Ovis aries: one gene and its partner. The protein of the gene in region 1 interacts with the protein of each later gene in a pairwise test. Links are inferred from orthologs where the notes say so. Each region holds a gene or a part of one and is shown on either strand. Other genes may lie near its edges.

Region 1 (3,652 bases):
GGATCTTCCCAACCCAGGGACTGAACCCAGGTCTCTTGCATGGCAGGTAGATTCTTTACCATCTGAGCTATCAGGGAAGTTTGTCTAGGATAATGAGTTTGTCTAAGATAACGTGAAATCTGTAAATTCAATTTTGAAGAACTAAAATTTACAAAATTTCTCAAAATAATAATGTAAGTTTACATACAAATCAATACAAAGGAATTCCAGACTCTAAGACTTCAGATCTTGAAAGTGAAGAACAGCTGATCGTATTTTTAAATATTTAAATAAAACTCCTAGGTTAAACACACTTGGGAGAGTTCTGCCTTGGTTTTTCCCAGAGTCGATTCCTACCTGCGTGGGTCTCTCCTGCACCAAACCACACTAACTTACTTGCTCTTTGCCACCCAAGAGGGACCATTTAAGATGAAGCTGCTTCTAAGCAGCAAACTTAAAATAGTAGGGCTTTCATTTTAGAATTATCTTATATTGATTTAACTCAATGTACTCTTTCCTGTTTCCTTTTGTTTCATATTAGCTTATTAAAAAAAGATTTATTTAAGTGTACTTGAAATGTAGCAGACTGTAATATATTAAGTGTAAAATGTGAAGTTTTAACGTATGCATATACCCACGAAACCATCACCACCACCAAGGGAGTGAACATTTTTGTCACTGCCAATTTTCCTGTGCCCCTTGTAATCATCGTCCATTGTTCCTTGCCTCCCTCATCCAGGCAATCACTGTCATTAAAGATTAGTTTACATTTTCTATGCTTTTATATAAATGGAACACTATAGTGAGCCCCTGGTGGCTCAGACGTTAAAGAGTCTGCCTGAAATATGGGAAACCCAGGTTCGATTCCTGTGTTGGGAGATCCCCTGGAGAAGGAAATGGCAACCCACTCCAGTATTCTTGCCTGGAGAATCTCATGGACTGAGGAGCCTGGCAGGCCACAGTCCATGGGGTCGCAGAGAGTCAGACACAACCAAGCAACTTCACTTTCTTCTTTTCTTTTCTATGGACTATAGTATTTTGTGTCTAGTTTCTTTCACTCAGCATAATTAATTTGAGGTTCATCCACATTGTTGCATGTATCAGTAATTCATTCTTTTTCATTACATTAATCTGTTTTCAGTAACCCTCTTTCAAAGAGTCAAAATTCTGAGAAAAAGGACATTAAAAGTTGTCAAAAATGATATTGGGTATACAAAGATCACTGGTAATTATTTTTAAAAATACCACTTTTGGTACATTTCTTGATCTTATAAAAGCTTTGCTCAATGCTCAAGACACATTCCATTTTTTTTTTTAAATAGAAATGATTTATGTAGACACATGTATTACATGGCATTTTGGAATGTGAATAACCTTGTTAAGCTAAAGCAAACATGGTTGAAAATTTTTATTCATACCGGACACTATTTCAGGCTTTGTGACACTGCTATGCTTAACATAAACCTATGAAAAACAGAAGTTAGCTGACAGAACATCTTGGTCACATAAAAACTTACTTATGTTTAAATATGGCTGTCTTGTCTTAAATAGAGAATTTTACTTATGTCCTATCTATCTAGATTGTAACCAGGCCACAGGAACACATTACTGGTGTGTTCCTTCATCTTCAAGGCACCAATTCCTCACATTAGTTGCAAATGAGGTACAGAATGAGAAAAAAGACAGGCAAGGAGGAGAAGCGTTACCTGTTTTCCTAATTTTCTAACTGTAAACCAGTGTTCTTTATAGTTGCATATAAATGACCTTTCATTTCTAGAAACAGGAAAAAGCACATATGCAATATTAAGTTGAAATATTAGAATCATATTCATTTAGTTTGTCAATTAGAAAATACTATACAAAACTATGATGACTTAGGATTATATTTACAGTTTTAAGAATCACTGATTTTTAAAAAATTACAAAACAGCATAAATCTCTGTGGAGATCGGTGATGCCATACAGAAACAACAGCACCACACCCCATTCAAGGATCAGCTCTGCATTGCCACACATGGAGGGGTCAGGGAGGCTCGGGGGACAGATGTTCACAGACAGCCCCAAAAGGCAAACCAGGAAAACCTGAGGGGATAAAATGGGGAATATCACAACAAAAGCAGGCCAGGCTTATTTTTCCCCTTTAAGAAAGTATAAATTTAAAAATCAAATATAGGAAAAGCAAAATAATCTTACATGGGATCAATCCTGAGCCTCTGGTACTCTGGACTGTTAAACAGGATTAGTTCTAAACCCCAAACTTTCAAGGCATTGCTTATAACCTGTTAAAAAAAAAATTTTTTTTTTAAAATTCCAAATAAGTAGCGTTAAGCCACATTAGTTGTAGAATCTATTTTAGTTCATAGATAAATTTCCCCAGTATGCTATGGGTTTTACAGTGCATGTGTGTGCGTGTGTATGTGTGTGTGTGTGTGTGTGCACATGATATATCACTATATGCACCAAATATCCATAACTAACAATATAGACATAACATTTAAAAGAGTACCTTTTACACTAAGTTTCTGGAATTGTATGAGAACCATACAATTCCTAGATAGAACTGCCTCCAAAATCTAGATGTATATTCTATCCGGGAAGTGCTACTCTTAACACAAGTCCATTGCATTCATTTGGCTGCTATGAGTTCTGCTTTAGAAAACTGACAGTCAACTTACTATACGGAATAATGATAATTTTATGTCTATCAAAATGAATTATTTCTGAGGATTTAAACTGAAGTTTTCATCAATTCTAAATTTCTTTTATCGTGGGTTTGTGATTTGTAGGAAATCAAAAGATAAACCTGATTATTTCAAACTAAGAAAAAAACAAAAGGAAAAATTTTGACAATTCACCACCTACCCTCCAAGGTACCCAACAAAGCAGCACGTGAGCCAGGCATGAGTATAGACAAACAGTGAATAATCTGCACTGGGCAAGTGTGGACTGGTGCCCAGAGCAGCACCGCACAAACAGGAAACGGCGCGCGCTGAGCCCATTCAGGCCCCTGCTCCGGGCCCAGCAGCAGCTGTTACCTGTAACCACCCACAGTGAAGCCCTGGCTGCAAATGCTGGTGACCGAGGAGTCCAGGAGGACTGAACAGGGGAACACATACAGAGATATCTGCAGGTCCCCCAAGAGAGCTTCTGAAGAACTCTGGATCCACCTCACAGGTGTTAGGAATGGAACCAAAGAGCCACAGATGAAAGAATCAGTCTCACGAGTATCATATATATATTCACCCACAGAATTCAAGGGGAGCGATAAGTTCACAAAAAGGGAAAAGATGAAAGCTGCAGACCATAATGAAGGAATCCAATCCTGGTAGGCTGATTTAAATGCAAGGTTAGCAAAGGGTTCCCCTCTGTCCATGGGATTTCCCAGGCAAGAATACTGGAGTGGGTTGTCATTTCCTTCTCCAGGAGATCTTCCTGACCCAGGGAGCAAAACCGCGTCTCCTTCATTGGCAGGCGGATTCTCTACTGCTGATCCATGAGGGAAGCCTTTGAAATACTGTGACTTACTGGAATTACATTTATTAGCACACAGATTCAAATTAACAACCTCCTTTGAAAAAGGCCTTCTCTAAAATGAAGAATCTACTGTCCTAATTTTCATGTGTAGCTATATAGAAAACTAGTATTCTAAAGGATAATCTTATACTCTTATACT
Region 2 (3,652 bases), on another chromosome or scaffold:
AAGAAAAATGGGGGGCATCCATGACTATGGATAAAGGGGGAAATGTGCTTCTCAGAAGTCCTTTCTGCATTCATGGACAGAGAAACTCAGGCAGTGTTTACAGCGGTGGGTGAGAGGCAGGAGGCACATGGCGCTTCACTGTATCCTTTTGAATCCACCTGCCAATGCAGGAGACAGAGGTTCAATGCCCAGTCTGGGAAGATACCACATGTCGCAGAACCACCGAGCCTGTGAGCCACAACTACGGGCTCAGTGCCCTAGAGCCCGTGGTCCGCAACAAGAGCGCCCACTGCAATGAGAAGCCCGTGCACTGCAACCAGACAGCAGACCTCTGCTCAGCACCGCAAGACAAAGTCCACACAGCGACAGGGACCCAGTGCGGCCGCAAATCAGTCAATAAGCTACTAAGAAAAAAAACGAATATATGTATGTGTAACTGAGTTGCTTTGCTGTACAGAAGAAATCAACACATTGTAAATCAACTATACTTCAATAAAAAACTTAAAAAATAATGGTAACAATAGTAGTGATGGAAGTAATAATACCAGCACTGACTCTTCTCCAGGCACTGATGCAAACGTTCACTGAGCTCAACTTTGCTAGAATGAGTGCTGCTCTAGCCTAGCGGCAGCACCGCTGTGGAATGCAGCTGTTTTGCAGTGCACAGCCTGAGCAACTGCACCAAGTCCTCACCGTACCTGATTCAGAGTCTTCTGCAGGTGCGGGGTGCCCATGCGGTCAGCTATGTGCCGGTAGGCTGGGTGGGAAAGGAAAAACTTCCTCTCAGCCGCCAGTGCTGTGCGGATGTCCTTCTTGCCCTCAATATCCTTCTGGCTGCGGTTGACCACTCCAATGTAGCCTGTGGAGAGAGAGGGTCAGGTCACGGCAGTGCCAGGCAAGCCTAGGAACCCAGACGCCCACTACAGGCCAGCCATGGGGCTGGGCAACATGCAGGTGTAGACATGGATCCTGCCCTCCAAGGCACTCCCAGAGGAGGTGACAAGCCTCATGAGTTACTCAGAGGCAACACTGAGAATCCAAACACAGGGCAACGTAAGTGTTCGGAGGAAGGAGAGATTACATTCAGCCTGGTGAGAGGGACTGGAGAAAGAACAGCTCGGGAGGAGATGAAATCCACAATCTGAGCTTTAAAGACAGAAAACAGTATGTGAAAAAGAAGGCCAATGGGAAAAACTAATCGTGCCAGATATTAATACCTGTTCTAAAGCTATTACATCTGGGGACCTTCCTGACAGTCCAGCAGTTAAGACCCTGAGCTTCCGATGTAGAGGGCACAGGTTCGACTCCTGGTCAGGGAACTAAGATCCACAAGGAGATCAAACAGTCCATCCTAAAGGAAATCAACTCTGAATATCCATTTGAAGGACTAATGCTGAAGCTGAAGCTCAAGCTCCAATACTCTGGCCACCTGATGTGAGGAGCCGACTCACTGGAAAAGACCCTGATGCTGGGAAAGACTGAGGGCAGGAGAACGGGGTGACAGAGGATGAGATGGCTGGATGGCATCACCGACTCGATGGACGTGATCTGAGCAAGCTCTGGGAAACAGTGGAGAACAGGGGAGCCTGGTATGCTACAGTCCATGGGGTCACAGAGAGCCGGACACAACTTAGTGACTGAACAACAATGGTTGGCAAAGAAACGACGTCTGGTGGCCACCAAAATGAACTCGCTGGGGATTCACAGATTTCCACATAACACTGCAAGTACTTGAATGGGTGTTTTTTCAAAATTACTGTATTTGTCTTAAAACTGTCTGAAGAGAACATAAGCAACAGTTAATTGTAAGAGAAGCGGGGCTTATACAGGAGGGGTTGGGAGCCAGCTTCCGAAACGACAGTTTAAGGTACCATTCGGCAATTTTTTTTAACACAAAAAACCATTAGCATAAGAAAACTACTTTGAAAAAAGGATCTACAATATCTGGACATAAAGGAGTTGGAAGAGGACGACGGAAGGGGGATTCAAGCAGCCAGGAACCCCAAGTGTGGACCCAAGCTACCCCACTGCACAGGTGCACGAATGGGTGTTGTGGGAAGCAGGAAACTGAGCCTGGTGGCCAACACCTGGGAGGCGCTCAGTCAGCAGATGTGTGTATTGTTGTCCATATAATGAAAATTGGAAAGGTGAACTGGGCCTAGGTGGTGAAAGGTCAGAAGTGATACACACATATCTGTACCCCCTTCTCTTAGTGAGGACTGATGTTTCTTTGGAGAGGAGGGGCACAGCTATCCTCCAAGCTATCCTCAGCCAACTATCCTGCCAAGTCTTGTGCAGACCTGACGGTTTCTCGTCCTCTTTGGAGCTATCATCAAGTCCACCTTACAGATGAGGGAAGCGAGGCAGGCCAAGGAGGGGTCCCTTGCCCACATGGTCACATGGAGGACCAGTAGCGGCAAGGTGCAAACCCAGATTACTGTGAAGGGCAAAGAGCAAGGGGCAGAGATGGTGTCTGGCTTGTTCTGTGGTTCCTTTTGTTAACCTAAAAAAGAAGGATCCAGGGACTTCCCTGGTGGTCTAGTGGTTAAAAATCCACCTTGCAAAGCAGGGGACACAGGTTCGATCCCCGGTCGGGGAGGATTCTACATGCCTCGGGGCCACTAGGCCATGACTACCGAAGCCTGCGCGCCTACAGCCTGTGCTCTGTAACAAGAGAAGCTACTGAGAAGCAATGACAAGGCCGAGCACCCCAGCTGGAGAGTAGGCCCGCTTGCCTCAACTAGAGAAAAGCCTGTGCAGCAAGGAAGACCCAGAATAGCCCAAAATAAGTAAAACAGAATAAATAAATAAAATTTTAAAAAAAAATCTGAAACTCCACTAAACACGAGACTGATCAGCCTCTGTCTAGATCTAATTACTGGTTTGCAAGAACTATAATTGGCCAGATCCCGATGAGGTGCACAGATCAAGTGGCTGGAGGGGGAGTCGTTGGAACAGAAATGTAGGTGTTTATGTGTCAAATGACAGGGTGCCTGGATTTGCTTCATAATCCCCCAGGAAGGGAAGAACAACAGGAGAGGATATTTGGGATAGTGACGATTAGCTGTGTGTGATGAGCAACAAGGCTGGTCTAGGGGAACGCCTCACATTTTTCTCTCCACGTGAGAAAATGCTTGACAACAAGTACTGAACATTAAAAGGTACAGGGACTTCCCCACCGTCCAGTGGTTAAGATTCTGCCTTCCAACACAGGGGGTGTAGGTTTGATCCCTGGTCAGGGAGCTAAAATTCCACATGCCTCCCGACCAAAATTCCAGAACAGAAAAAAAAAGAAGAGGAAGAAGAAATATTGTAACAAATTCAGTAAAGCCTTAAAAAATGGTCCCTGTCCAGAAAAAAAAGTCTAAAAAAAGAAAAATTACAAATCCTTGGGAACTCTTAGGAAGGAGAGCCAGAGTAGTAACTATGGGGAGAAGCTGAGTGATGGGTGATTTCAGTTTTCTTCTCCTGGACACTTCTTTTTGTTCCCCAAATGAGCAGTTGTTCACCATACAAATGAAAAAAGAATGCACACACATCAGAAGAAAAAGCTAGGGCTTCCGTGGCGGTGCAGCGGTCAAGAATCCGCCTGCCAATGCAGGTGACTCGGGCTCGACCCCCTGGTCCAGGAAGACCCCAAAGGCCATGGAGC

The links. The genes of interacting proteins can lie anywhere in the genome.
Region 2: the proteins of ATXN3 (region 1) and DNM2 interact in binary tests that used the Homo sapiens proteins (3 or more experiments, as listed by UniProt). The link is inferred for Ovis aries from reciprocal best matches to the Homo sapiens genes ATXN3 and DNM2.

Annotation. Positions count from the first base shown.
Region 1 is NC_056071.1:54,591,624-54,595,275, forward strand, and holds part of ATXN3 (ataxin-3), read right to left. Parts: intron 2,259-3,652; coding exon 2,173-2,258; intron 2,023-2,172; exon of another isoform or gene 1,967-2,022; coding exon of another isoform or gene 1,962-1,966; intron 1,753-1,961; coding exon 1,686-1,752; intron 1-1,685. UniProt on the Homo sapiens protein: Deubiquitinating enzyme involved in protein homeostasis maintenance, transcription, cytoskeleton regulation, myogenesis and degradation of misfolded chaperone substrates.
Region 2 is NC_056058.1:13,095,317-13,098,968, reverse strand, and holds part of DNM2 (dynamin-2), read right to left. Parts: intron 860-3,652; coding exon 699-859; intron 1-698. UniProt on the Homo sapiens protein: Catalyzes the hydrolysis of GTP and utilizes this energy to mediate vesicle scission at plasma membrane during endocytosis and filament remodeling at many actin structures during organization of the actin cytoskeleton.